Lytechinus pictus: one gene and its partner. The protein of the gene in region 1 interacts with the protein of each later gene in a pairwise test. Links are inferred from orthologs where the notes say so. Each region holds a gene or a part of one and is shown on either strand. Other genes may lie near its edges.

Evidence for each region.
Region 2: the proteins of EKC/KEOPS complex subunit Tp53rkb-like (region 1) and EKC/KEOPS complex subunit TPRKB-like interact in binary tests that used the Homo sapiens proteins (3 or more experiments, as listed by UniProt). The link is inferred for Lytechinus pictus from reciprocal best matches to the Homo sapiens genes TP53RK and TPRKB.

Annotation. Positions count from the first base shown.
Region 1 is NC_087246.1:58,199,436-58,215,689, forward strand, and holds EKC/KEOPS complex subunit Tp53rkb-like, read left to right. Parts: upstream 1-7,997; 5' UTR 7,998-8,200; intron 8,201-9,807; 5' UTR 9,808-9,851; coding exon 9,852-10,092; intron 10,093-10,941; coding exon 10,942-11,426; 3' UTR 11,427-15,425; downstream 15,426-16,254.
Region 2 is NC_087247.1:45,959,139-45,975,524, forward strand, and holds EKC/KEOPS complex subunit TPRKB-like, read left to right. Parts: upstream 1-9,551; 5' UTR 9,552-9,807; exon of another isoform or gene 9,808-9,825; intron 9,826-11,656; 5' UTR 11,657-11,762; coding exon 11,763-11,933; intron 11,934-12,639; coding exon 12,640-12,813; intron 12,814-13,300; coding exon 13,301-13,387; 3' UTR 13,388-15,224; downstream 15,225-16,386. Other genes in the region: methylglutaconyl-CoA hydratase, mitochondrial-like, read right to left, coding at 2,604-2,671, 9,321-9,474. UniProt on the Homo sapiens protein: Component of the EKC/KEOPS complex that is required for the formation of a threonylcarbamoyl group on adenosine at position 37 (t(6)A37) in tRNAs that read codons beginning with adenine.

The DNA of each region.
Region 1 (16,254 bases):
TAACATGTTATTGTTTGTTTGTTTTTTGCTGTTGTACAAACACATTTTTAAAAAAGATTTTTTTTCTTCTTCCAGAAATGATCAGAATAAATGTTAGTGTTTTTTTTTTTTTTTTTACAAAACTCTCTCCTTAAATTTTGCTTGATCTTTTAAAATTCAATGTTAATTAACAAGTATAATGCAGTCTTTCCATGCCACTTGAAGGGGAATCCAACTCAAACAAGTGGAACGCCTCTGGCAGTCTCGCCTGCATTACGCGATTTAATATAGCAGCAGTGCTAACTTTGAAAACTACTATAAAATAATCATTCACAAAAACACCATTCATATAATGACATAATACCACGTTCATTGACCATAGATGACATTTGAACAGTGACTTAAGACTTGCCAACTACACCCATGTCCACATTTCATTCACTCTATCCATAAACTTTCAAAGTTATGATGGCAATTCAACAATTACCCCAAAATGGCCTAAGTTTATTGACCTTAACTGACCGTTGACCTTGGTTTTGTGACCTGAAACTCACAGGGGATGTTCAGTGATACTTGATTACTCTTATATCCCAAGTTTTATGAAATAGATCCATAAACTTCAGAGTTAGGATGGTAATTCAACAAATACCCCCAACACAGCCAAAGTTCATTGACCTTAAATGACCATTGACCATGGTCATGTGACCTGAAACTCGCACAGGATATTCAGTGGTACTTGATTAACCTAATGTCCAAGTTTCATGAACTAGATCCATAAATTTTCAAAGTTATGAAGGTAATTCAACAAATACCCCCAACTTGGCCAAAGTTCATTGACCCTAAATGACCTTTGACCTTGGTCATGTGACCTGTAACTCAAAAAGGATGTTCACTAATACTTGATTAACCTTATGTCCAAGTTTCATGAACTAGATCCATAAATTGTCAAAGTTATGATAGTAATTCAACAAATACCCCCAACTTGACCAAAGTTCATTGACCCTAAATGACCTTTGACCTTGGTCATGTGACCTGAAACTCGAGCAAGATGTTCGCTAATACTTGATTAACTTTATGCCCAAGTTTCATGAACTAGGTCGTCATTTCAAAAACTTAACCTTCGGTTAAGATTTTGAAAATAATTCTCCAAACATGGTCTAAGTTCATTGACCCTAAATGACCTTTGACCTTAGTCATGTGACCTGAAACTCAGGCAGGATGTTCAGTAATACTTGATTAACCTTATGTCTAAGTTTCATGAACTAGGTCCATATACTTTCTAAGTTATGATGTCATTTCAAAAACTTAACCTTAGGTTAAGATTTGATGTTGACGCCGCCGCCGTCGGAAAAGCGGCGCCTATAGTCTCGCTCTGCTATGCAGGCGAGACAATAAATGTTTTTTTTAGGAAATAGAAAAGTCAGACAAGTAAGTTTGAACAATATTGGACAAACAAAACAGTTGTGAATTCTTAAAAGTTATACAAAAATTGGTTATCACTACATATAGAGGCTTCAAATTGGCCACATTAGTGATTTTATAGAGATGTAAAGGGAAGGACTACTCTTTACTCCTAAACATGAAATGTCTTAAATGTAATTTTTTCCCCAAAACTTGTACAATGTACTTCCAATTATTATTTTCTTCCATGAGGACATAATATAATGCTACCTGTGTTATATTTCTCTTACTGCCCCTGGAAAATAGGTACTTGGGTGAAAACCAAAATCTCTGATAACAAAGTATATGTTCAATGGGAAAGTTGTCATTGACACTTGTCATAATTTACTTACTCAGTTGTCAATTAGAAATTTACATCGTCTTAGGATTAGGCTTAGGGATCTCGCTTTTAAATCGGCCATAACTTTCTTATTGCTTGTTCAATTTCTTTCAAACTTAAGAAAAATATAGCAAATGTGAAGGAGAAAGGGGTAGAAAAATATTGCGATCCACAAACACACAAGATTCCTTGAAAAAAAAACCTATAGGAACACAATAAAGAAATCAAATGAATTGAGCGCATGGTTGAATATTAACAATTGGCATTGGTAAAAAGATATACATGTATGTAGTTTGTAATATTGAGAAAAGTGAATGGATTGAGCAAAATAAGAAAAAATATCTAAAGTTAAAAATAACAAATAGGGTTTTGAAAGTATATATGAACAACAACAAAACACATAAATTTATTATTTAACTTTTAAACTTAAAGAGAAATTATGTACCTCTAAATAATCTGTGAAAACAAAACTTCCTGCTTAAGCACTAGCCAATGAAGTTCATGACTACTAAATGAAGAATTACACTGGCAAAGATGAAATCTGCAAAGGCACGCTCTGTTGAAATTCCCTGAAAACTGGATTTATTTGCTGGGTTGACTTGTAATCTCAGACATACTGTATCAGAAAAAAAAATGGATGAATGGAAAATTAATGACTGAATTCCTTTGCAATAACCCTAACCCTAACAGCCTTGCCAAAATTGTCCAGAGCAAGCATCGCATGCGAGAGCTGCACGAAAGGCTTCACAACTCCCTCCACTAGCACCTCCATGCACTGCGCTAGTGTGCACCGTACATGTACCTACATATTACCGCGATCCTGTTCCGTAGACCCTGCTTTTCACACCACCCAGTATGTAGTCAGTTCCTAAGACCCCAATTTCAGGGTTTCACGAGGCACATCCCCATCAAAATATAATTTGAGTGCCCCCCCCCCCCCCCCCGGAATGTCTCAAACTTATCCATGCAAGTGGATGCATACTTCCAGGATTCAGATTTGTATGCATAAGTACTCGATGCAAATAACTCCTCTCATTTAATTGTCCATGTTGGGTGTTCTCAAAGACGGTCATGACGGTGTGTGGCTGTATCGACTCCGACATGTATTGGCTGGCTTTGGTCAAAGATACAAGGGTAAGATCGGACAGTACATAGAGTGCATAGTGAAATACTTGTAGTATCTTTGCTTTGGTCTAACAGTAAATTGAGTTAGATCTAACATTAGCCTCTAGCCTGGCCTTATTGAATTACAACTTCTTTACAACCACACGTATAGTGAGTGATTGTATTACCAACTGGCCTTATACATGTATTTCCAAACACACGCATCGTATGCGTCAGAAAATAATTTCATACGCTCAAAACTTTGCAACATCCTTCCACAGGAAACTTGATCAAAAATATGATAAAAATTAATGGTCAAAATCACATTTTCAAAAGTTTTTAGATAAAAAAAAATATAAAATATGGTAAAAATAGCTCATTAGTGATTTTGTTTTTTCCCAACTTTTCTCATAGAAAACACACGTTCGGTAATATACCTTTTTAAAGTGATCAAAATATTTCACATGCAAAAAATAAAAACAATTTTGGCAAAATTTTTACATATTTTGTAGGTAATTGTGTATTTCTGGTGAAAGTTTGGTGAATTCTATGAGAATGATGACAAGGGCGCCGGATGCGGGGGGCACTTGCCCCCCAAATAAAATTTTTGGGGGGCAAAACGAGATTTTGCCCCCCAAAAAAGTAGAAAAATTATTATTAAAGGACAAAAGTAAACGATGAAGGCACTTTTCTGCCTAAAAATTGTCATTTCCATTGTCAAAAATGAAAAAATTTACACGACGGGGCAATTACATATCATAGTAAGCCTCGCGTCTTTTGACGAACATGTCCCTCTGTGAAACATACCTTTGATAAGCCCCTTTTCCATCTTATTACAGTGTGATAACGTTTAACCTTTTAATTACTACTTTTCAGACTAAAACCGAATGGCAAATTGAAAGTGGTTCACCAATGCATGCTGGCTGTGTCGGCTAACAAACGCGCGGTCGCCCAGAAACGCTCAGACCGGACCCAATATTACTAACGCGCGTGAACGCTAGTTACGAGAGCAACATATGAAATCTATGTCATAGCTGTCAAGCCCAGAAACCATAACATCTCGAGGTCGTCATATTACATTACTCTAGGACCTACTCTCAATCTTCCAATTTCTCGCCTATCAATTTTACTTCTTCCGAAGAAGTAAAATTGATAGGCGAAGAAGTAAAATTGATAGGCGAGAAATTGGAAGATTGAGAGTATAGACAAGAAATTGGAAGATTGAGAGTAGGTCCTAGAGTAATATTTCTTGAAAATGTGTGTAGTTCTGAAAATGACTGTAAAACAGAAAAGGTTAAAGAGTTAAAGAGGCTTGATAAATGAGAAGATTCTAGTTTGAGTCGGCGAATGGAGTGCAGAGCAGGAGTACTCATCTATCAACTACTCAAGCCTTTTCAACTCTTCACCCTTTTCTGGTTTACTGTCTTTTTCAGGACTACGCTCATTTAAACAAAAAATCACTCGACTATCAACTGTCCATTTCCTCCCCTATCAATTTCACTTCTTCTTCTATCCACTTTTTCGAAAACTCCACATGGTGTACCGTCAACCACATCCGCTATTGGAATGTAATTGTTTTCTTCTAAATAATGTTACATAATGTACATTATGAACTGCGGTAGTTTGTTAATCAGTTCATGATTATTTACAATATGTAAAGAAAAAAGAAGATTTTGAAAGAGTCATCCAAAAGTGCTTCCCAGCCATACAAAACATGTAAACGGAAACACATAAATCGAGTAATGTTTTAAACTTTCATGATTTTCAGAAAAGTTTTAAATTGTTAGACAATTCAGCTTGTCATATTTCTTTTTCCTCCAGTTACATAATATGAAACGCAAGGCTCCACATTAACTTTTTTTGGTGGTGGCCCGTTCGGGCCACCAAAACCATCAAATAATTTTTTTTGGTGGCCCGATATTAAAGTTTGGTGGCCCGAAAAATATAAAGAGAAACATTAAAAATGAATAAAACAAACTTCTGAAATATTAATTCTGCAGCCACTACCACTAAGTTCCTTTCACTTTATACATCTTGTATGTAAACCTTGTTTGCTGTTATTTTACTTTGCTAATTGATAATTGTTTCTATCGTTGTAAAAATGAAATGATTGAAAGTGAATAAATGAATTGTATTGTTCGCAGGTTGTGTGGACTTTTTTTTAAATCTCTGTATAGAGATAATGGTAAAGTAAATAAATAGTGCATAGCTAGCAAACTCAGATAGATGTACAAAACAATGGTTTTTCCTTCCTTCCTCTTTGAATCCTAAAACCTAGATTATGCATGCCCCAAATCCAGTTTATTTCTGTTTTCTCTTTTGCAGCATATAGAAGGAGAAAATCACAGAAAAATATGCTGCAAAATTAGAACAATGCATAAAAGGGAGAAACAAACGAAAATAATTTTCAAAAAGTATATAACAAAAAGAAAACAAAAATAAAAGGAATTAGTGAAATAAAACAAAAGAAAGAAAATGAAGAAAGAAAAAAACAAAGAACAGGGAAAAAAGAAAAAAAGAAAAGAAAAAAATTAGAGAGAAAAAAGAAAAGAAAATTAAAGAAAAATTAATAAAACAAAGTTAATATAAAAATGGGGAAAAGGGGAAAATTAAGAAGCCATTACTTACATTTTTAACAGCTGTGGCAACAGTCTATTCTGACTGGAATATAATTAAAAGCCAAGCATATAATTTTCACTTACCTTTTGGGAATGGCACATTTCTATTTTTATATCCTTTAGTTTGTATTATTTTATTTTCAGTAGAAACATATTTTTTAATCAGGCATATTCAATGGGAAGGGGTATAAATGGTTTAACCACTGTCAAAAAAAATGAAAGAAAAAAAAAGAAAACGGCAAAAACTATATATTGGAAAAAAAGTGTGAGAAAAGTCCTTCCCTATATTTGCCAAAATGTTGGGGAAAAAAATCACATTTCATATCAATGAAATGCCTTCCCAAAGTATTTACTTTCTCAAGAGTGGTTTAAGAAGTCATTTATAAACAAGAAAGAAAGAAACTGTCTGTTTGTTTAAGGCTAGAAAATACACAGCTTCGAAAGAAATCAAGTATCAACATACATACAAATGCACACGTGGGACTGTGATGTACTTGCCTATGTGTTTTTATGTGTATTAATTCATGTGGAAATCGGTCTTTTTGAGTCAAAAGAGAGGTCATAATTCCTCTTCTTAATACTTGCAAATAATCAGGGTACACCAGATTTTCGTAATATAGACTGTAGAATTTCATTTCATTGGTGTAAAAGGTGACTTTGACTTAGATTTTCAAAGTTCTGTGGAAGATTTCTCAGCAGCAACATTTTTTATCGCAGCTCCCTGAGTCTGAATAGGCTGAGCTAGATCTAGAGCACAGCTGTATGCAGTGGCTTCATGCAAAGCTCACGCCAGCCGGCCGGCGCGGCTGGCTGGATAATAGCTACTGTATGCTATAGCTGTAGGCCTAATATGCAAACTGTGTGTGTGTGTATTTGTGTGTAGATCAACAAAAAAGGCGCATGACGAACTGGCTTGCAATTTGAGCTGTAGAAAGTTGATAAATGCGTGCAAAATTGGGAGAAAAATTGCGCTACTTTGAAAATTATTGGTTGCCCGATTCGGGCCACCAAAACTTAACATTTTATCAATAATGGTTGCCCGAGGTGAATTTTTGGTGGCCCCGGGCCACCGCTAATGTCGAGCCTTGTGAAACGTATTGCCCATGATAATCAGGGACTATATCTCCAATGCTGATGTCAGAAATGATTTGCATAGAATGGGGATTTAAGTGCTTATCGACGTTTGTCACGTCAGAACAGTATGACATTTTGAATTTGAAAAGACTTTCATTAGAATTTCTTTTGTTTCTGTTGTTACGCTTCTTCTGCTTAATACACTCCTTGTTCTGACAGGAATTACTTGAAACTTATGATGATTGTGCTCTCTCGCGTCGTCCGTGTATGTAAATGTACATAAATAAATGTTTCTGAAAGGATATTGCATGAAAAATGTAATTTCTGGTATTTTGAGTCAATATAAGCGTAATACGTAATTTAATTGATCAGACATGAAAACCACATTCCGAAGCGATCGTTTTGCGCGTAGATTTCATACTCATAGGTTCTCATAAATTATGAGTATAGTCATTCGTAGTGAATTCTATGTTTAATTCTCAAGAAATTTATTTTTGAATGCTCTTAGAAACGCAACTTTTATACTCCATTTTTACACAAAGTCCTTATTTTTTAGTTACCATGGGGGGGGGGGGGGTCCCACACCCTCTCGATTGCTTCGCCTTCGGTATCTCACGCTGTCAAAAGTATTGTGCCCCCTTCGGGATTTTGCCCCCCCAAAACTGAAAGTGTTCCGGCGCGCCTGAATGATGACGTGTTTGATATGATTGAATTCATGAAAAGTGTGCTGTGCGTCATATACGATCCACCGCCACCGGCTCGCTCAAGCAATATTTCAATGATTGATGACGCCAACTAAAGTCAAATTGGGTTTAATTCACAACTTTAATTCAAATACAAAAAGAATGCTTCCATTTTTTTTTAACTGTCCGGACTGACGGACATCCAAACACGCTGAGCGTCCCCATCCCCCATCCAGGCCCCGGCCCCCATCAATCGTTCTCCCCCGGACTTACCGGCGAGCACGAAGGATCCGACACTGGAAATGAATCCCGAGAGGAAAGAGTTGAACGGGAAAGTTCCAACAAGTGCACAGTAGACAAATTGCACAACCCCAGTCAACAGAATGTACGTCAGGTATGCATCAATTATTTTCAACTTAAGTGGTGTTCTCGTCGTGTATTCATCATAAAATTTGTTTATCACGGTGAACAGATTTACAGACATTTTGTATTCTTTTTTGGTTTATGCAGTGAGAAATTGATGGCCGTGCTACGTGTCGTTGTCGTGATCGCGTCAAAAACTGTATGATGGGAAGGGTCAGGAATAGTTTAATTAACAAATATTTCAATATTATTAATGACTATTTTACTTTATTGATAGTCGAAATAAAATTATTTTATCATTTTTATTAATAAATTAAATCTTTAAAAATTATTTTTAATTATCGTTAAATCAATAGTAGTATTTAAAAAATTATAGTATCGAAAGAGCCTACAAATGGCGTCTGCTATTGTCATATTTGACCTCGTGTGCTCATGTAGCGTAAATCTCACCTGCGACTGGTACGGTCTCCGACGTGCCTGCGCTGCCTGCATTTACCCGCACGAGGTCGATCGAGAACGGGCTGGAGACTCCAATCAGCCGACAGTAGTAAACTTAAGCTGATGTCTGTCATTTAACTTCAAGATCAAGATTAATACAGGTAAATTTAAGCCAAGAATTTGAGATTTCTTTTTAAAATAAGGGGCAATTGTTGTGGTAACGTTACGATTTAAAAAAATGTGTGCCAAATAGCCGGGGCAAGTTCAACTAGTTGCTCAGCTGGCGCTGGCCTAGATGCCAAGAAAATTGCTGAGAAATGATTAAAATAAGCACGGAATTTCATCAAATGTCTAGTAAGTATTTTTCGAAGCAATAATATACACTGTCCCACATTAGACAGCTGGCAGCCGTCTGTTTCGAGGAAGTTTTTAAAAAACATTTTAAAATTTATTATAATTATTTAAATTTCTCCTCGTACACGGACGGCTCGCGATCGTGCAGCCGTCATTAGGGGGTTAACAATGCAAAGTCCCCGACGGGGCTCATTTTTTGTGTCTTTATTTCATAAAAATATATAAAAAGAACTGGACCAAAATAAAAATTATTATTCCATTTTGGCCTGAACCAAAACGGGGAAAATACAAACTTAAAAGGACAAACAAAAATGACTTTCTTCGGCTGTCGTGCAACTCCCCTTCGTTGGTTTATCCGAACTTAATACATAAACATATATTGCCATTGAGTCCGGCCCTGAACAGATCCCCGGGGGGGGGGGGGGGGTCACTTCCATTGATGAGTGGATACCATGCGCGACCATGGGGTCTCGAAAAGCACCCTAAACACGTATTTTCCGAATTCTGAAAATGCACCCCTTAATAATAGTAGGTATTGGCGTCTGAAACCCTACCCTTAACAAGTATTAGAAGAAAAAAAACGAAACTCTTGACAAGTATTCCCTGAAATGAACCCCTAAACAAGTACAGTGATGGGTCCGTCAGTCGTCGGTTTTACCTTTACACACCATTTGGTTTAGTACGGCCCCATGCACCTTCTACACCTCGCGCAAATCTGACTCTAAACACGTAGTGCTGGGGCAAAAAGGACATCCTTAATAAAACATTTTAATTTTGTTTTATCATTCCCGCAAATATGACCCTAAACACGTAGCTTTCCTAGCGAAATAGATACCCTTTTTTTCATTATTTTTGTGTTTTTGACACCCTTATCACGTTCCGTACGTAACATGCCCTATCTTGAAAAAGACATCCTTTTTACGTGTTTTTTTGGTCGCGCATGGTATCCACTCGTCAATGTAAGTGGCCCCCCCCCCGGTACAGATCGAGTTAGAACTTCGGTCTCTGTAATTGGTGAGTGGAGCCAACGGAGTTCAGCAGAACAACCAATATAACAGAGATCGAAGCTTTTGGTCTAGTCCCACATGTGCTTTTCTGTGTTGGTGATGATCAGAATTATTGATTTTGAGCTAAGATTTCATGATTTTTCAAAGATAAGTTTACATTAATGTACCAGATGCAGATCGTTGATTTTTTTTTTTAATAATAATTTTAATGTTTTTATACACAGTTCTGGAAAAAAAATTGAGGGGCTCAAGGCTGGCTGTGAGACCAACAACTCTGTTATTTGTATATATCTAGTCCTTTATCTACAGTAGACATGTAATAGTTGCATGATCCCTAAAGCGTGTGTATGTTCAGTCACAAGAGATGAATGATATTTGTCTTTCTTTCATTCATCTCATACATAAAGGTGCGTATTTCCCTTCAAAGTATCACTGGGGTAGTTCCTTAAAAATGGAATTGGCTGTGACATCTAGCAAATCAACTCTGGAAGAAGACCAACCAGCCAGCTCCAAGCTTAGTCTCTTGAAGCAGGGAGCGGAAGCTAGGATTTACAAGAGTACCTTCATGGGTCGTAGCTCCATTGTGAAGCAGAGATTCAAGAAAGCCTACAGACACCCAAAGCTGGATGCTAAACTATCACACAAACGAACTGGTCAGGAGGTCAGGACTATTGTCAAATGTAGGAAGGCTGGTGAGTGGGAGAATGTTCTTATCAGGCCAATTAGCTTATTCGGAACAATTGCATGATTGTGTGAAATATAGCATATAACTTTGTGCCACCCAACCTACAGTCACAATTTCTAATTTTCAAACCTCATAGAATAAATCTTTATCAAATATCAAGTTTACAAAAAATTTTATCTATTTGAAAGATTTTCATTTCATCATCAGATATAGAGAAGGGATAATTTGATTTGGAACAATGGCATGATTATGTAAAATAGCATACATGTAGGCCTAATCTTGCAATCCAACCTCCAGTCACAATTTCTCATTTTCAGCCATCATTGTTTAAATCTCTACATTTATTAACTCTCATTTTCAGCCATCATTGTTTAAATCTCTACATTTATTAACTAAATGAAGATTTAGATGATGTACATGACCATCAACTAGCTCTGTGGTCTTCCCTTTGGTATTTTTATTATGCAGTTGGATCTGCTCCAGTATTTATTGCAGGTGGAGAGAAGAAAGTTAAGCTTGAACAAGAATTGCACACATATGATTTTTGCACATACACAAATATGATTAAGGCAGATCAATAAGAGATTAGTCAGAAATAAGACATGTTTAAGATCTATTTTGGAGACAGGACAAACCAGGGATTGAATCTTTGAACCAACTTTAAATATTGTCAAACATAATTTTAAGTGTACTGCAAAAAGTTGCGTCAAAAAAGTTATCTATCGTAAATATGAATTTTATTTCATTATGTTACACCCCAGATAAGACAGGGAAGGGATATATTTAGAGTACAGACATAGCCTTGTGTTTTTCATTGATATCTAGTTTTGTGCCTACTTCTCTTTCAAATTCACAGGAATTACTACACCTGTGGTATACTTTTTCGACAATGAGACTCATTCTATTCACATGGAATACGTAGAGGACTCCCTCACAGTCCGTGAGTACATCCAGCAGATTCAGAGCTCCGGAGCATCTATCGACGATGAAAGACTGGTATCACTAGCGTCTAAGATTGGAGCAACCCTAGCATCTATGCATAGTGTGGATGTCATCCATGGTGATCTAACAACCTCAAATATGCTTCTACGTCAGCCGTATGAGGAATCGCATCTGATCATGATCGATTTTGGACTCAGCCAGATATCACATCTGTGGGAGGACAAAGGGGTGGATCTGTACGTGTTGGAGAGGGCTTTTCTAAGCTCACACCCAAACACTGAGGAGCTGTTTAAGAGAGTCCTTGATGTCTATACAGAGAACTACAAGAAGTCTGGAGATGTGATGAAGAAGTTGGAGGAAGTAAGGCAACGCGGCAGGAAGAGGGTGATGGTCGGGTAGCAGCTATAATCAACCGCAGTTTATCATGTTGTACATATATATTTCATTTTGTTAACATGAGAGAAGTCTCGAGAACGTCCGATCATAATTGTTTGTGACTCGTCAACCCCAAACCAACAATAAGTAGCCCAAATTTAATTTTGAGATTTTTATTTGAACTTGAAAAAAAAATCCTAAGTTTTAAAGTGAGATAGATATTCCTTTTCAAAGTATACCAACAATAATATGCAGAAGTACTTGATTGAATGTAGAAGAAATTCTGTGACACTGACTTTAAAGATTGAGAAAACAAGATTTGAAGTTTGGGGTTCACTCTATCATGAGATGTGCACACTGCACAATCTTTGTGAAACATGTGAGCAATCCAGAGAAAAAGTTGTGTCAAAGAATCTTGTGTGTCTCGTCTTCTATTTATCTTTACAATTTTGACAGTGAAGAAGCATATTTCTTCAGATAAGCTAATATTCACATTTTTACCTTATGAAGAGATTTTGGCTATTTACAGAGAACCTTTCCAGGTGACTTATTGTTGATTTGGGGGTGGTGGATTGCTAATAGTGGTGACACAAAGTTTTCCCCCACAATAATCACTAATGGCTCCTTTATCAGAAAACAAGGGATAAGGATGGGGATAGAACTTTTATGAAATAATGATTAGATGTAGGTTAATAAGTTGAGAGTAAGTTTGTTGAATGAATAAACATACTTTTAATGAATAAATATGCTTCTGATTGAATGACTATCACAGCCAAGGGTAAACCACAATAACTAAACCTTTCGAAATAAATTGAAATCTAAAATGGCAATGAATAGATTTTCCGTACACTGCCTAAGAGCACCCAGCTGGCAAACCACTTGAGTGGCTAAATGTGTCACATAGAAACCAAGCCCAAATTCATAACGGTATTGGTGGAACCTTTTTCACCAAATCTTACAAGATTTTAAGAAACTAGTGACTGCTCAGCTTGAACAGCTATGTATGACTGGAAGGATTGCAAATATTGAATTTAAAGGGATGGTCAGGGCTGAAAATATTTATATCTAAATGAATAGAATAAAATTCACAGAGCAAAATGCTGAAAATTTCACCAAAATTGGATAACAAATAACGAAGTTATTTAATTTTAAAGTTTATCAATATTTTATGAAAACACTTATATGCACATCATCATGAATATTCATTAGGTGGGCTGATGTCACATCTCCACTTTCCTTTTTCTTATGTTATTACATGAAATCATAAATGTTTCATTTTTTCATACATGTGTAAATGATGTCTCCATTATGATCAAATAAGTTGCGGCAATAAATAATTAATGCACTTAATCAGTTTTCAATCCAACTGTTTTTGTTATGTAATAAAATACAAAAGAACAAGTGGGGATATGACATCATCAGCCCACCTAATGAATATTCATAAAGACATGCCTGAACTGTTTCACCGGAATAATGCAAATCTTTAAAATTCAATAACTTTGTTATTTGTTATCTGATTTCGATCAAATTTTCAGGCTTTTGCTCTTTGAATTTTACTCTATTTATTGAGATAGATATATCTCCAGCCTGGACCATCCCTTTAAATGAATTAGTGATTTTTAATTCAAATAGAGTTACTGCCTGCCTTTATTTCCATTGGAGCAACTACCTTCATTTCCATTGAACTACAACCAAACACTTCACAGATGGAATCATCATGGTATAGGCGATTCGTTAGTGAACCAATGCCATCAATCATGTATTTAAAAAAAAAAAAGTGATTTGAGCAAAATTTGACATCTTTATGTTTAAGAGCAGTCATTCTCAATTACATTTTGGAGGTGCTCCACATTTCTTGTTGAGAATCTGTACTGCTCCACTAGTGCTAATGAGCGAAATATTGCTGAGGGCCAGCTAGGGCCCCTGGTGGGCTCGAGGGGGCGGAGCCCCTTGAAGCTTCGGAATATGAGGCTTTTTAAATGGCCAAGAGGGGATCTAATTAATATCAATACAAGAAACACAAATGCAAACAAACTACACGATTTAGTATTTTTCAAATGATAAGTGACTTTTCACAACATACCATTGATACCGCTAGTTCACGAGGGCATGCACATATCACAGCAGGCAATACCTTGCAACATTTCCCTTTCACAACCTTGGATTTTAAATAATCGGCTTTGGAAACAAAGTTTCTGATTTTCAATATGACTAAAACTCCTTCTGTGAAAATTTTTTCGTGATGCCGAATTAATATGCAAATTAAGAACTTTATTTTATATCTGTATATAATTTATGTCACCACATTTTCCGATATGATGTGTTTTGCCAGGAGTCCAAGTTGTTGATTAAAAGCATGGCTTGTCAAGTATAAGAATGTTAAATTATGTATTTATTGTCATCATTTCAAATGCTGCATCTGAGCAATTCCATCAATTTTCAATGCATAATCTGGAAATGTGAAATTACTAGCCGTAGAAAATAGTTGAAAACGTGATAGATATCCAACCGACGAACGGGGCTATCAGATCACTTGTGATCATAGAGATAATTTGTATAGGCCTACCTATATCATGATGCACATACCGACTATTGACAGTCGCACATGAGTCCATAAACCAAGCATATAAAAACCATAACGTTAGAATAAATAAAAATAAAATCAATGAAGTTTAAAGTATAACTTACTTGTTTTTTCCCTTTGTGTAAAATTATCATCAATCATCAATTTATATACATATTTTCCCAATTTTTTCATACCGGCTCCCACGCGCCACTCCGCAAGGCTCGTTGCGCCACAAGTGGTGCGCGCGCCGCTGTTTGAGAATCCCTGTTTTAGAGGTTTTTTTACATTTGTGGTGAAAGTTTGATGAATTGTAAGAAAATATTGCAATTGATATGATGGAAACTTTAAAAAGTATTTGGTAGTATGTTTCACTACAACAGCTTTTAAAGTAATTATAACTTGAAACCCTTGTGCAATATAAGAGTGCATTTTTTCTATGTGTAGTTATCAAAGACAAGACTTTCTAATGAAGATGTCTAATTGCAGAAATATCTAGGTTGAATTTGCAAATCAGAAATTAATTGATTTCAGTAGTACTCACACAATATCACTGATTCCATGCATTCAAATTGCCTGTATGTTGTACTTTATCTTAAACCCTTTGGTGATTTCTTTCTGTGTACATCATAAAGTGTGATGTAAGTTTAAGGTGAATGTGAAATTTGGAAATAATCAAAACATGTTGAATGCATTTTGGGCCATTTATTCTCCACTAGAAATGTTTTTAATGTGGATTGGCTAAAGGCTGGTATACCACTGATCATATATACATACTGGACACCTCAAATGATCACATGAATAATACAATTCGGGTATTTTAACATAGATTTACATTATATTTATGATCATGATTCATTAATTTACAGACAATGAAATACAAGATGCATACATGTATACAATTACATATTGGCTCTCGAACTTAAAATATAATATGACATGACAAAATTCTTTATATTTCGTAGTCACAAAGTCTATAATATATTTGGTCCATGTAAAATACAATTTTTTAAAGTAAATGCATTAAATATTTAATTCAATTCTATATTATTACAATGTTCTTTGAATCAAAAGTTCTGAGAACTATACAAAAAATAGCAGCATTGCATGTCATTGAAAATATATTATTTCAGGTATAATTCAGGCATAACCAGTTTTTGTCGGCTTTGTTGGTAATGCGTCCATCTCACAACCGGAAGGACAGGAAAGACGTTAAAAATGGTGAAAAACGCTTGCTGCTGCTACCCCGTTTGGCGTTCAACAGTTTAAGGGATAGGGCAACATTGATCAGGCACTGCTCAGTGGCTGCTGGGCCCCAAGATCAATTTATTCAGATTTCTATTTTGAACAATTTGGAGTTTCTGCTTCTTTTTTTTTATATGGGTTGTCTTAGCTTCAATGGTGTGACAAAAGTGTCCTCATGATAAAATATAACCTCCACTCTAACAAGAAAACTCAAATTAATTGGTTACTTTTCTTTATTCACGTATCATTTAAGTTATCTTTGTATGTAATTCAATTTACAACACAATATTCAACATAAAATGCCTCCCTGGCACAGTCAACATAAAACCAAGTTAGAGTTGTCTCATTACATCATATAATCTATCTCAGAGGAAGGAGTTTCACGAATCTGTTTGTACATTACACATGACTTTCACACGACTGGTGACTAATCTTAAGTGGGTACCAAATCAGATTCACAATCATTTGAATTCCCATCAGCTCAGCTATTTGAAACACAATCTCTGTAGATAAAAACTCTTGTTCTTCAAATCAGATGGGCACCCGCTTTCATGGGGAGTGGATTGTTATTTGCTGACCCCAGACTCTTGTGAAAAGCATTGGAAATACCTGTAACAGAGACATCTTTGGGGGTAAGCAAACTTGGTACCAACAAGAAATTCTACAGCCAAGCTTGCTCAGCTTCGTGCAACTATCCGACCAGGAAGTTATTTAATGAGTTAACCATAAGGCATTTTCCAGTGGCATTACATACTGTCTACTATTCATGCATCTTGTTCTACTCAGGGTGATCAATATCCAAATGGTGTTGAATTCTCCATGAAAACAGGTGATAATCTCCCTTTAAGAAGCATCTGAATACAAAGTATATCGTTTGTCAGAATTTAATTATAATTTTGTTGTTTTAGTTTTGTGGGAGTATTGAATACTCCAACAAACTAAAACAACAAAATTTAGATATTTCAATTCTGGTGCACTGCATCATCACCAACAACCTCCCTACCTGTGCATTATTTGTACAATCAAGGAGTCTTGAGAGATGGA
Region 2 (16,386 bases), on another chromosome or scaffold:
GCGCAAAGCGCGAGCAGAAATTTTTTATATACGTTTTGAACTGGTACCTGTTGAAAAGGTAACTGTTAAGGACTGCTTGCACTTAGCCATGAAGGCGTGACATATTTTCAACAATCAAAAGATGCGAGCGCGAAGCGCAAGCTGAACAATTTTGAACTTTCTAAAGAAAGAATGGAAAATTTTAATTAAATTTTTTTAATCGTGTACAGGATAGCTATATAATTTAATAATTGATGCGAGCGCGAAGAGCGAGCAGAAGAAAAAAAATCGAGATTTAGACCTAAAAATGGGCCACTCCGTTCATGTTTTGTAAATAATGAAAAGGATGAGTAATATGGGGTCTTCCTACATTAATAATGCGAGCACAAAGCGCGAGCAGAACAATTTTGATATTGTGATCTGAAACTGGATAATGATTTAAATAGAGAACAAGTTAAGTATCTGAATAAACATGCGCGCGCGTGTTTCATATTTAGACCTAGAATCTAGGCATTCTAAATACATCTTTAATCATGAAAATCATGAAACTTTGATATTCCGATCTGAAAAAAAGAGTCAATTTCAGCTTTATATTTCAAGCACTTTGTAGAAAAATTGTAAGGTGGATATGGATCGCACTTAAAAAAGAGCTGATATTTTCATTATTATTACTCTGAGTTTTGACATAGGACCGGGACATCCTTACGACATGTCATCATATGAAAATGATGACTATTCCTCTTGCTAAGCGAGATGAAACAAAAGGGACAATTTGATGATCAAATTAATATCATATTTATTAATGCCTAATGAGGGCGCGAAATCTGATGATATTATGGCATAAAAACTGGACATTTCACTTTTGTAATTATGAATAGGAGGCATCAGTTAAAGTATTTTTAACCATTAATGCGAGCGCAAATTGCGAGCTAAAATTTTTGATAAACTGTCACGAAAAGGGGTTTTTAAGTAGTTTGTTGTATAATCAATATTGAAACATATATAACTCGCCAATCAAAATGCGAGCGTGCAGCGCGCTAGCTGATACGTCTTAACAATCAGACCTGAAAAGGGATATTTTGAAAACTTTATGAAATACACGAAAATAATAGGTACCTGATAAATGAAAATTTGCGAGCGCACAGCGCAAGCAGCAAATGTTAATATTCAGACCATAAAACTGACATTTTTACAGAGCACTTTTTAAAAATCAATTTGTAAATCACACAAAATAATGAAAGTTCGATTTCCGAGGTGAAATATGTTTTGTATATTGACTTCCAAACTTGACATTCGAGCTCCATATTGAACAAGATATGTAAATCACCTAACAGGCAATGCGAGCGCGAAGCGCGAGCGAAAATTTTATATAGTGGCACGAAAGATTCTTTTTATTTTCCAAGTCTTCCCCTCATCTTATTTTATTTACTCGTCGTCCTTCTCTTCTTTTTCTCCTCTCCTTTCCTTCCTTTATTCCTTCTTTCTTTCCCTTTTTACTTTTTTTGCTCCGCCAAGAGGGGAGGGGGGGCGGGCCCCTCGGCCCCCTGGTCCGCCTACGGGGACAAGGGGCGGGAAAATTTAACAAGCAAAAAAAAGTTTATCATCCCAAAAGTAAGGTCATCTCGTCCCAACTTGTCCCAAAATACATGTTTTATTTAGATTTAGAATGATGTATTTCTTACCATCATAAAAGACCAAAAATAGTAGGGGGGACATTTGATATTGTGTCCCCCCTACTATTTTGAGTAGGGGGGACACGTCCCCCCTGTCCCCCCTGGGATTTCCGCCCATGATGATGGCGATTCCTCAAATAATCTGAACAAGGCTAAACTTCGTTGACCCTAAGTGACCTTTAACCTTATTCATGTAACCTGAAACTCAGGCAGGATCTTCGGTGATACACTATTTCCCTTATGTATAAGTTTTATGAACTAGATCCATATACTTTCGAAGTTATGACAACATTTCAAAAACTTAACCTTGGTTAAGATTTCGATATTGATTCCCCCAACATGGTCTTATTAGTTCATTGACCCTAAATGACCTTTGACCTTGGTCATGTGACATGAAACTCAGGCAGGATGTTCAGTAATACTTGATTACTCAAATGTCCAAGTTTCATCAACTAGGTCCATATACTTTCTAAGTTATGATGACATTTCAAAAACTTAACCTTAGTTAAGATTTCAATGTTGAAGACGCCGCCGCCGTCACCGTTGGAAAAGCGGCACATACAGTCTCACTCTGCTATGCAGGCAAAACAAAAATCACCATGGTTGACATCTTAAGGATTTAATTACCATGATCATCTAACCATCCTCTGCTAGTTAAACTTTATGGCAATGACAAAAAACACTAGTTACTATTTTGCTTGTTTGTTACAAATTCTAGGAAACAAGGCGACAGTACATCCTGTGTGTGTAAAACAAATTGTGAGGTTTTCAGGAGTGGAGACCGTAACGATTATGGAAGATAAAGGGATCAATTTCTCATCTACATCTACTATTAGATCGACTGAACCTTTCTATTATATAACAAGAGATTTTAACAAGTTTACATTGAGTAGAACAATATCTGCCAAGAAATGGACTAAGAATTCATATATAAAGAAATTCAGGACTTACTAGATTAAGAAGATTTCTGCTGATCGCATTTTTGTTTGCAGGTCTGTTCATTCCAAATACAACAATCCCTTGAAAAAAAGAAGAAGTAGAAATTCCATTCTCAAATCTAAACATCCATAGTACATCATGACTTTGGGAGAGGAGAGTGGGGTGGGGGTAGGGTTTCAATGACTATAAACTGTTAAACTGTCCCTTTAGCTCTGTCAAGTAACCTGGATACATTTATGCTTGAAAAAGAAAAGCTTCCAATATGATTACAAGACTTGATCTACATTCACTAGTCTACAAGTAGTGGGTCTAGTTCTCAGATGGTCTTACACCACTTGGGTAAAACTCATTTGGTCAAGCTTGATCCACTTAGCCATATTCTCTTCATTTAGTCCCATGTCTAGTTGGTCAAATTTCCACTTTGTCTACTTTTTCATATGATTATGAAGTCTGGTTTATAGTTTAAAGCAGGGTTGTTGATTTTTTTTATTAAAAAAAAAAAAAAAAAAATCAGATTTTTTTTTATTTAAATCGGATTTTTATGATTTAAATCAGATTTTTTTTTTTTTTTCCAACGAAAAACAATGGTCACACTTAACAAGTTTTAAACTATATTTAAACTGTTTTACACCAATAATAGTGGTCAAGTAGTCTTTTGAACATTGTGTATTGTACTATTTGACACAATAATCCACTTATATACAGGTAATTTTTTTTAATTTTTTTAAAACTTTTTTGGAGTGCTTCTCTAAATGATAACACTTTAAAGCATTTTTTGCTCTGTTTCATTTCTATATTCCCATAGACATGTTAGCATACACGTGAGAACATGCAACTCAGATTTTTAAAACTGAACACAATGTTAACCAATGCCTTTAAGCCATTGTAAAGCTTTATCATATTAAGACTTGTTTCCACAGAAATAGGGTTTGCAACTCTAGAGCTACATCTGGTATACAAAGCATTCGCAAGTCACAACTGTACGTTAACATCTAATTTGAATGTAATATTTAACCAGATTTGCAATAGGCACTTCCTGATATGCTTGTAACAAAATACACATTTTATATTTTCATTACAGTGTAACCTCAGTTCCAAGTAAAACTTCAATAAATTTTGTTGCAAGATGCAGGATAAGCACCACTGTCCACCACATCATTGATGTGCTGTTTTTTTTCAAACTATTAGTGAACAAGCAAGCACAGCAGTTGTATTGCTGCATACAGTAACACTTGCCCAGCAACTTTCCCATTTTTAAATTCTTACTTATTAAGTATACATGTGTACTTTGAAATTGTGTAATTGAATGTATGGGTATTGATAAGAAAATACACAAGCATGCAAATATACATGTAATTCTTATCAAATGTACACATATGCCTTCAACTTAAGTAATTGAAAGAAACATGGGTATTAATAGTAACAAGAAGGAGGTACATACAAGTAGTTCAGCTGTTTTGTAAAAGTATCCAAGTTGTGGACTTTGAGCACCTTTGTAGATTTTATATATTATTTCATTGAAGATTTAACAGTTTGGTGTACATACAGAGAGTTATTTATCATTACTTCGTTAGAAACTTGTTGTTTTCATCAGTTTTGCTTGTTTTACAATTTGAAAATAAAACAGTGGTGTCAAATCAGACTCCATGAGGGTGTATCATTCTTTTAAAGTATCTCTAAAGCATGTGGAACAGAAATGAAAATGATTACATTGAAAGTATCTGTTAAGAAGAAGAGAAAATAGAGAAAACTAATTTTTTTCATAAAAGTTAATTTAAATCAGTGATTTTTTTGAAAAAAAATCAAGTGATTTAAATCGCGATTTAAATCATGATTTAAATCGACATGATTTAAATCAAACAACCCTGGTTTAAAGGTCAAGTCCACCCAAGAAAAATGCTGATTTGAATAAATAGAGAAAAATCAAACGAGCAAAACACTGAAAATTTCATCGAAATCGGATGTAAAATAAGAAAGTTATGACATTTTAAAGTTTTGCTTATTTTTCACAAACCAGTGATATGCACAACTCAAATGAGACAGTCGATGATGTCCCTCACTCACTATTTCTTTTGTTTTTTATTGTTTGAATTATATATTTCATTTTTTATAGATTTGACAATAAGGACCAGCTTGACTGAATCATATAGTATAAAACAATGCTCATTCCACATGTTCAGGGAGGAATTAATCTTTGTTTCACTTGACAATGAGGAGAAAAATAGAATATTCCGTATTTCATATGATAAAATATAAAAGAAATAGTGAGTGGATGACGTCATCAGTCTCATTTGCATACCCACCAGGATGTGCATATAACTGTTTTGTGAAATTAAGCAAAACTTTAAAATGTCATAACTTTCTTATTTTACATCCGATTTTGATGAAATTTTCAGTGTTATGCTAATTGGATTTTTCTCTTTTTATTCAAATCAACTTTTTGTTTGGGTGGACTTGTCCTTTAAAGACCAAGAAGACAAAATGGGTATAGCCTACCTAGAGGTTTGAAATTAGAAAAAAAAAATTATTGGTCATACAGGCCAAATGGAAAGTAGAAAAAATATTCTTCAATTTTCCCAAAAAAATTTAATACTTTCTTAGTATAAGGGTTTGGCAAATATCCGAGGGGGGGGGGCGTACTTAGTATAAATGTATATCTATGTGCTACGATTGAAACCCCCATTTTCAGCCTAAATTTCTGGTCTAGAGCATCAATTCAGAAAGCCACAGATATTCCTATTTTTTCCCGCTCCGGAGACCCTCAAATTTGTGATTTCTCATTTCAATGCACGCCCTTCATGAAATCTATTGAGCCTGTCGGAGCGGCAAGCTCGATCGGTGCAGAGCCATAGCGGCGGGCTCCCGAAGCTCCCCGCACGCCCGCAGCTAGCTTGTTCTAGCCCGACATGAATCTAGCAAGACGCTCGCACATTTTTTTACATAGACGTTATCAATTACACCTACGATCAAAAGAATTCTGGAGACCCCCCCTTCTTTATGTTATGTGGTCAGTTCCAGAGAATTGCATTTTTAGCAATCGTTGATCCAAGAGCCGTTCAGGAGACCCCCGTTTTTAGACCAAGATTTAGTTCCAAAGCCCCATATTTTCGACTTTGGCGCAGCACATAGGTATTATGTTATAATTCAAGTAAAAAAAATTGTGACAACAATTAGCGATGAGAGAAAATATAACCTGGAAGTCGGATCTTGTGAATATTATAAGGTGCTCAAGTATTTTTATTCATATTTTTTCAGGAATATATATTCTAGATAGATCTATACAAGCAACAAGATGATCTCTGACTCTGTAATAAAATGGATTATTGTTAATATGGACCTCAAAGTATACGATCATAAGTTATATACAATGATTTTTAATGAGGTAATACTAAGTTTCGCGATAAGTCATTTTTATTTTAAAAAAAAAGTGTTTCTAGAAATGAAAACTGATAGAATACTTCTAGTTCTTACGAATTTAACATGGCGATAGATAGATTTAATCTAGATAGATCTAACAAGTTAGTATTCGAGATGTAGACCCGGGGGGGGGGGGGGGGGGTGGAGGCCACTTCCATTGTAGAGTGGATATATATACCAGGCACGACCAAAGAAGTGCATCAAAAGGATCTCTTTTTCAAGACTGGGCACGTTACGTACGTAATAAGGGTGTCAAAAACACTAAAATACTGAAAAAAGGGTATATACTTCGCTAGGAAAGCTACATGTTTACGGTCAAATTTGGGAGGGAATTTATATATGTAGGCCGGCCTACTTTTCGCCCCAACACTTTGTCGTGTCCGATTTGAGCGAGGTGGAGCGGTACCAAACCCAATATAACTTATGTAAATAAAGGAAAATGCTGACGTCTGTGACATAACAATTTAAATATCGCTGTAGACCTAAATCTACTTGTTGAGGTGTACACTTTAGGGATCAAGGGTAACTTTTTTTTCTAATACAAGCCTAATAATTAAGTGCATTTTCAAATTAATTACTCATTTAAGGCGGTGCTGCACCATCCCGAGTTTGCTCAATCTCGAGATTTTAGCCCGATCGGCCCTCTTCGCGATTAATCTCGAGATTCAAGAAACCCCGTCTCCACCATCGCAAGAAGAGCGATTCCTGCTCGAGCGAGGCAACAAGCCCAATATTCCGAGCATGCGCACTTTCGGATCTTGGAGTTTCAACGGCCCGCGCTTTTGAATAACTTCCCGCGATATGCAATCAAATACATGTAGGCTACTCCTTTCTCTAGCACTTTCGCCGAATTCGACAAGTGTTATGCAACAATCCTCTCAGCTCCGTCAGCCGCGCTCAGCGAGTGAAGAAGTGATGTATTCTTCGTTTAATATGATGGCGGAGAAGGAGGCAACGACAGAGAGAGAGAGGGAGAGAGAAAAGGAGGAGGAAAGAATGCTATTTGCTCACATTTTGCAAAGGCCATTAAGACGACACTGCTGTCAGTGTTGTTATCGACTATGAACATCGTCGATAAATGAGCGCCTCCCCCATATCCATAGGTCTGGTCTCTCCCAAAATCCATTCACTGTTGGGACACCATCGTTGCTGATTGGGGAATTGATGAACGCTATTCGCGATAATGTCTATTCGCGTGTATAAAATAGACTTTCGCACGTGTTTTTGTTTTGACCAAGGCGGAAGTGGAACGCGAATTGCATTATGGACTGACGTCATGAATAAATTACCCCGAGTCCAATCTCGAGTGCGTCTGCACCTTCGAATTAGCGGGATAATTCGTAAAATAGCGCGCTATTTTGCAAATAAACCCGAGTTGACTTGGGATTGCAATCTCGAGATTAATCCTACGAACTAGCGCGATAATTGCGTCTCCACTGCAAACAATCTCGAGATTTTTCAGATCGGGATAATTTGCCGGATCAGAAATAGCGCGCTAATTTGAAAACTCGGGATGGTGCAGACGGCCCTTTAGAGTACTTTTCGAAACCCCATGGTCGTGCCTGATATCCACTTGTCAATGGAAGTGCCCCCCCCCGCACGTAGACCCTAATTAAAGTTAGATTCTTTGATTAATTTTGGTCACTTGGACCAACTTTAGGCGTGCTGTATTATTGCCAGATTTTTAAAATAATTTTTGTTAAAAATCTAACTTGAAAATTCCAGGAAATGTCTATGAATTTCAGGAAATTTGGGATTTAGTTTCGGGAAATTTGTTTTAACTGTTGTTAGATCTGTGGTCTGGAAACACTGTCCTACTACCACCCAAGGGTTCATTACATGCCGCCGCGCACAGAAAAATCAAGCCATAGAAGTCGTGTGTTGTCAGTAGAGGCGCACGGCCAATATTGGAGACTGTCTCCAATGTGGGAGATATCTCCAATATCAGAGACTTTTGTAAAGAATTTGGGTATCCAATTTCAGAGACAGTCTCCAGTTTTGGAGACCAATTTCCTTTGTTTACATTTGCTGCAAAAGGATTACCTTGGCGGCAAATAAAAATGTGATAAGCAGATTCCTCATGAAAAATTACCCCTTTTCACCGTCTCCTTTAAAAATTCACCGTCTACTTTTGTTTTGATAAGGATTTTTGTTGTCAATCACACACAAAACAAATGGGCTTCTGACCTCAGTGAGACAAAATTTTGGGTGGAAAAAATCATGCTTTTGTTGGTGTTGTTTCTTTTGTCCTTTTGCAAAGCAAGTCTCCAATGTGGGAGATTGTCTCCCCTATTGGAGAGAGTCTCCCATATTGGCCGTGCGCCTCTACTGGTTGTGGACCCTAGAAGTGAGATCCCAGCACACGCGACCCACTAGTTAGAAATCCACTGCCAAACGCGGTTCGTGGTGCGAGGTTAGTATACTAATACTAACCTCGCAATACGTGCGAGTGTCCTACTACTAACGTTAGTACTACTATAGCTCTGTAAAGAGGACTGTACTCAACGGAAGAAGAAGTTAGTGTCCATACCAGAGGTCACAGTAAACAATTGTTCATACCAAGGACAAAGACCCAGAAATATAGGAATTCTTTTTATGTTAGAATACGTAAGACATGGAATAGCCTAAATAATGAAGTTGTCACTGCCCCAAGTGTGCACAGTTTTGAAGCTGCCCTGCCCTGGAAAAATGAGCCAATAAAATATGACTACGAAAGCCTTGTTCCCGGAAGTGAGCCAGCCATCTTGAGGAGGAAAAACCTAGAACTGAATACAGAGGCATAACATGCCTACATTCAGAAACTTCCCTAGGCCTAGGTATCCCTTCTAATACTAATAGGTTAACATGAACCGGTACATACAGTATACTACAGTCAGATGTGATCGCTCCCCCTCATCTCAGACAGTAGTAGTACTACTACTAGTAGTAGTAGACTGTAATTTTAGATTCAGAATACGAATTTGGTCAATTAGCATGATTAGCGCTCCATTATTTGGGAGGACTTACGAGGAAAGTTATGAATACCCCCCCCCCCCCCGCCCTGTATGCCACTGCACTGCATTGCATTGCATTCACCCATATATGACCATGGCCATGCCCCACCCACACTCCAGTCACAATCGACTCCATCATTCACAAGCCGGCTAGTCACACACAAAGTCCGAACCCGGCGCGTGAGCGACGGCTATGATTCGGGGCCCAGGCCAGCCGGCCGGCCGGGTACGGTGGAAAGGTCGGCCAGCCGGTAGCATGGTTACAATACAGTCGGCAGCAGCAGACACGCCACTAGCCTCACTTAATAGTAAAACACACCTCCATCATCCAAATAGCTGACTTTGAGATCATCTGCAGGAGAGCTAAATGTTCGAGCTACAGGTACCAACAGCTGCCTGGTAGTCAAAATCTTAGAATTTATACCAGTGAACACACCGGCGTAGCGGATCAGTTTTGTCAGGTGAGAAGCCATTTTTCTTTAAAGCACGCATGCAGCTTGTGCACGTGTGTACCGGTAGGTGCTGGTGGTGCTGCCCGCTCGTTCCCGATGCAAATGCGATCGACAACGGCGGCCAGGCCGCGCCGGCAAGCTAGCTAAGCTACCGCTCGGCTATACTAAATAGCTTAATAATATTTAAGCATTTGGTATAGACTATAGGCTAGATATGGCTATCTGAAGCCGGGCGGGAGTTCCCCGTATTTCTGTGTTAATGTTGTTGTTGTTAACATCAATCTTGAAAAAGGAAGTTCATCTTGACATTGAAAATCATGACCATGAATGCATGATGACAATGTCAATGAGTTTGTACCGGTAGTAGAGTAGAACTAAAAACAGAAAATTGGTGAAGGTTCATCATAACAGACTAATACAAATTTTTAAAAATGTTTGTGACATGACATCGACATCGTAGGCTTAAGATTAGGAACATGTTGTAACACATATGTCATCTAAGTTAGATTCTAAGTTAGATAAGTCATTAAGTGATTCTCAAGTTTATGTTACATCACAAAATCTATGTAGGATGTGTATACATGAAATAAAACTGGTCACCATTTCATGCAATTTCATAATTCATTTTTTTTATGATGTTCATGCGTATCGGTACATTTTATATAATTTATCTCCTCTCCTCTCCTCTCCTCTCCTCTCCTCTCCTCTCCTCTCCTCTCCTCTCCTCTCCTCTCCTCTCCTCTCCTCTCCTCTCCTCTCCTCTCCCCTCCCCTCCCCTCCCCTCCCCTCCCCTCCCCTCCCCTCCCCTCCCCTCCCCTCCCCTCCCCTCCCCTCCCCTCCCCTCCCCTCCCCTCCCCTCCCCTCCCCTCCCCTCCCCTCCCCTCCCCTCCCCTCCCCTCCCCTCCCCTCCCCTCCCCTCCCCTCCCCTCCCCTCCCCTCCCCTCCCCTCCCCTCCCCTCCCCTCGACTTTTGCTAAGATGAGGGTTTGACCAAATTGTTTGACCCATTGACAATGAGCTGTAACATCCTAATAACCTCCTCATGTACGTAGATCCCCTCTGTTCTGTTTGTACAACCCTCGTCAGCAGGGAAAGGGGTGTTAGAGTTTGATCCCCTCCCCTTTTTAGGCAGCCCAAGAGGGTAGGCTAAAATCCCCTACACCCCCCCTACATTGTAGATCACCATTGTAAATAGCTGAATCAATCTGGCCAGAGTGTCGGGGTGGAAATTGAGAGTGACTTGTTTAATTTGGATTAAAATGTCTGTAAAGCTATGCATAAGAAAGTAATATGAAAAAGTAAAATGGTGAACTTATCTGCAAATATTTCCAAATTTTAGTAAAATATGATTGTATTGAATTTTATTACATGATTAGAAAATTTGAAATAAGATATAATAGCATGTAAACAAAATACTTTTAACACTTGGGTCAATGGTCTCTGAAAGCAAGATGATTCATACATGTAGTTGGGCATGATAATTTTTTAAATATATACAAATAGTATGAAGTATATGTATGATTAGAATTCTATAATGAAGTATACATGTAAGTCAAAGAGGATTGCATTTCCTAGGTGAACATCACACATTGGAGTTCAAGACGAAAATTCCACTCAGTCCAAAGCCGATCTCTATTTAAAACCTGTACCAGTGATTAGAACCAATCTTTGTCAAGTGTGATGGCAGTGTATACACCTATCTCCATCCACAACCCATCTCTCCCTAGGGAGGGATTATTTAGATCAGTGATGAGGATGGCCTTGAGTGGGATGTGTAGAAATATTGTTCTTCAGCAAGTAACAATATTTCTATGCATCCCACGGAAATTGGTCATCCAATATTATAATTATTTAGATACCCCAACAAAGCTAAGCATAAATTAATGAAGCAAAAAAAAAAGTTGTTACTCAGCATTTGATGTCAATCCTGTAAATCATGAGCATGGCGACTGTAAAGAGTATTGTCATTTTCTTAAAAGAAATATGTGTAAAGATGCGCTAGCGTATAGTGCAAGTGCATTTGAATTAAATAAATTGACGCAATCTTGCTCCTTTGCCACACCTGGCAACTAATGCGCAATGCAATATCATTGTGACGTAACAATAGCTTTATGCGCACAATCGGTTATTAACCAATGATAATCTCGTAGGCGGGGCAAAATATTCATTCATCCAATATGGAAAATATTGAATGGTTTTCATAGGCATACACGTTAAAAATCAGTTTTAAAATATTTTGTCTCTTTGAAACAACATCGCAAGACGTCAAAAAATATCTGTGCCTCTAAAACCCTGCATCTAAATAATGATATGAAATATATGTACATTCATAAAGTGTATTTTTCTCCCTTGATGCAGCTGGTCAGCCCATTTCAGATAATGGTAGCAGTGAATAAGGCACTCCATGCACATGCCACTGGCCATGCAAAAACCAGGACTGTTAATTCTGAAATCATCTATAGCCTGTCTCCATCCACAAATGTAAGCTTTTGGGTTTTTTTTCTTTCAAAGAATGATTTCAACTTTAATTTGCTCTATTTCACTTATTTAAAATTGTTTACTAGTATTGCTTATAATTATATATTTATTTAAGTAATTAATTTATTTACTAAGTTATTTATTCCATCTATTCATTATTTATCAATTATTTATTATTATGAAAAAATATTGTAGAAGAGAACATATTTAGTTATGTTTTTATTTTTTTTATTTTCTTCCTTTTATGGGGCTTCTAACTGGATATTGGCGTATATATATAATAGGCTTTTCTAATGGGTTAGTAAACTACACCAATAATGCTAAATTTGTTTGAAAGTAATATGGTATACACATTAATACAAAATAACGTAGTTGATTAATTTGTTTGCATACTTTGCTTTGTTGATAGGCATATTTCTTACAAAGGATATAGAATTAAAATGTCATTCAGGAATCTATCTTTCAAGAATTTTGCAATGGGGACATATCAGTGCTAGGTTTTGCTCCTAATGAATCATCAATAGCAAAAGGTGATAGTACATAATCATGTAAGTTAGTGCCTACATTATTTAAAACTTGGACAGTATTTACTGCTATGTAAGAAGCAGAATATTCTTGAATATTCTTATACATATCGCTTAAGTATTTGCAAATAAGATCTACTGTCATATCATTCAAGTATATTTATTGATCTCTTAATTGTTTACAGATCAGTGAATCCTTCAAGGTTTTTGCAATGGGATCAACTGACACATCAGTGGCAGTGGTTGTTTTAAATGATCCTGATCAAACCAACCTGAAGTCAATTGCTGCAAAGATTGAAGGAGTTTGTGTTCCTCTATCTCAACTCTCCATGCATACAGATGAAATCATGATCAAGAAGGTATTTGCACATAAAAACATTCCTTTGTGATATTCATTGACCTGAAGAAGACAAATCTGTGTAATTGCCCAGAATCCTCCAGTTTGCCCCCCCCAAAAAAAAAAAAAACACACATGAAAAATTGAACTCGGGGCTTAATTCTGAAAATAATCACAGGGAGATCAAGGATTTAATATTTGGGGGAATCGGAGAGGGGGCACAGATTATTATCCCAAATTGCCTGTCTCCCAATTTGTTTTGCAGTTGAACAGTGTAATTCATGAAGACAATAGCTTCAAAAGGTGCTGAACAGTTACATCCCTACCAACACTATACATGTATGTACTGTCTGTCAGAGAAAAAGAATATATTTTACTTAAACATAGTATTATTAATTATTAATTGTATTTTGCTTATTAAAAGCAGGGTGAGAAAATCAAACTTCATGATGTTGGATGGAAAATAATTCAAACAATTCAAACATTCTATTTTATCCCAATATTTACAGAAATACTCCATCAGTAAACCAGAACTTTCCGTAGGATCCCTAGAAGATGCTGTAATCTGCAAAATGGCAACAAGTGATGTTTCCTGACCAGTCAGGTGATTTTCTTGTGGACAAATAGACTCTCTTACAAGGAAAGCCGATTTGAAGGACACCATTATTATGGAATGCAAAGTGCTGTGGCCTGTGGATGACTTGATGGATTCTCTTAATATGATTCTTCAGACAGTGAGATGTTTTTAATTAAACAAGGGTGAATGTTAAGCACTTGAGGGTGCCAAGTCTGCGGACTTCGCTTTTAATCTCGGGCAACAGCTTACAATACCACTGCATCATCAACTGAACCAGTGTACTACTAGTATTATAGAAGAGTTCTTGAATCATCAAGAGTGTTGTAAGCATAATAGATTGAAGACATTTGATGTATCAAAGTTTCATGTCTTTCAAACCATGATATTTATTGAAGACTTAGAAACGTCTTGTTGAGGAGGTATCAGGAAGCTGTCTCTGATATACATGTACTGTATGTTGCTCCTAATAGCAAAAGGCTTGATACATTTAAGTGTATATGATTCAGAGAAAAAAAATGTAGCCTATTATGTTACAAAATGTTAGGCGGCAAGTTTGGTACAATGAAATATGTTCTAATCCCCAAAGGTCTAAAACATTGGCGAATCAACCAGGTAAATATTTTTCAAAATGTTCTTTGCAGCAGACAACTATCCCCCATTGGGGGTCACATTCCTCATATTAGGCAATGGTACTCCAATAGTTATTATAAATTCATGTCCAATTTGTTGGTCAAGAGCAGCTACATGGATGTAAAAACTATACCCCCCCAAAAAAAAAAAAGGATTTATAGAGTAAAAATTATTGAGCGCTTGGAGTGTTGTGTCCGATAGATATCAGTGCAATTTAAAAAAGCCTACTGATCATTACACAACATGGATTATGCTATAAGAAGTGAAGTCTAATTGCCACACAGAGTCTCTGCATACAATGGGTGCATTTTACAGTTGAAGGCACTGAAAGACCCAGAACGGACCCAAATGTGAAATTGAAAAATCATACACCAATTGAAAGCTTAAACTACTAAGCAAGCAATGTAAGCTTTCATGCATATACACCGCTTGTAACCAGCTGAGTATTTTGCTTTAAAATAGATCCAATTATCAAGCTTCTAAAATGGGCTTTTTTGTGTGCTTTTTACGGCCTCAAGAACTTGATGTCATGTAGTAATAGAATCGTTGTGATTCCATAGGTTTGTACACAGACAACCTCAATAGCCAAGCAAGGAAATCTGAGTAACTCTGTTCTTTTTCATTAAAAAAAAAATGTGAAAATGATGGATCCTATTGCTGATTGGTCATCATACTGCAGTTCTAGGTAGCATTCTTTGACTCGCCAAAACTATATATAAAAATCATGAATTTATTCACAAATCTCATGTGCATTTAGACTGATAAAGTGAAAGATTGCTACATGTAGGGGGTGTGTTTTTTTTTAAATATGTTTACAAAGTTATATATGAGTTTATGCATGACTGGGACATATTTAGGTGTTAAGTCAGCTGTTAAAGGGTGCAGTATTTACATGCAGCATAAGAAAGGGTCACCAGTTGTGCATAAAGTCATTTTTATGTATGATGACAACAAAACTTAATGAAACCCTTACTTTGTGTAAAAATACACTATTCCCTTGAAGAGTTGGGTGATATTGTAAATGAATGATGGGATGAATTAAATGCAGGGTGATACACATTTATCATGGCAATGATGATATTTATTGTCTATGTCATGCTGAAGTAGTTATGCATCAGATAAAAAGATAGCAAGTCAAGTAATTGTCAATTGGAAGAGAATAAGCTAAATTCTGTATTAAGCAAGTCTACATGTAAATAAACCCAGAAAAATATAGAATAAACCAATATTAGCATGAATATGTGTTTGTTATCTGAATGGTTGAATTTGACAAAATTTGTGTGAGAGTGAAAGGGAGCTTCATGTGCTTGTATGTATGAATGCATATGTTCACTGTTGTATTATTGAATTAATCTACGGTATCCCTCTTTCAATTTATCTATTTTGCTTTCAAACTTGCACATGTATTTGCATTTTATCTCCATCTCTTTTTTCTGGTTTTTCCACTTGTAAAAGGGGAAGTTCACCCTGAAGAAAAGTTAACTAAAAATAGTAGGAAAAAAATATAGGTGGTTTGAGGAGAATAAATTATAACTGGGTTCCAAAAGAAACTTATCAAACTTCACAATCGCACAATACAAATTCCACTCAGTCAAAAATGAACTAATTTTGACACAGGCTAGCTTCAATAATCTTAACTCAGCACATGTCAATAATTAAAAGATTGGTTGAATAACAAAGAGGCTGTAGCCCCTCAATTCAATAGGTTCCGGAATCCTAAGTCACAAAATGGCAAAAGTAAGACCAATGAAAATGAGATGGGATTAAACCAAATGGTAATTATTGATTGATATTGAGTCCATTCATGCATTATGCTTCTTTGACCTAAATACATATAGGTGCGTTTAATGCTAATTTTAACCTACTGTAACTTCTCAGTTACTGAGGCAATTAATTAAACATGCCGATGGTCATACTGTGAACTTTAATAAACTGGTAAATTTGTTTAATCCCATCTCATTATCTTTCTTTTACCATTTTGTGACTTTGGATTCCGGAACCTATTAATTTGAAGGGGCTACAGCCTCTTTGTGATTAAACCAATTTCTTAATTATCGACATGTGCTTAGTAAAGATTATTGAAGCTAGCCTTTGTCAAAATTCTGTTCATTTTGACTGAATGTAATTTGTATAGTGCGCTTGTTAAGTTTGATAAGTTTAGATTAAGAAAGTTATTAGAATTTTAAGTTTGGCATTTGTGAATTCATATACAAGCAGCTGCCCCATACAATGTATGTTATGTAATATAAAATGCATAAATTTTGATATTTTTAATGGTTTGTGATGACCTTTTTTTCTGGGGGGGGGGGGGAGGACAGGTGTGAATTAGTTTGAAGGGGCTACAGCCTCTTTGTGATTAAACTAATTTCTTAATTATCGACATGTGCT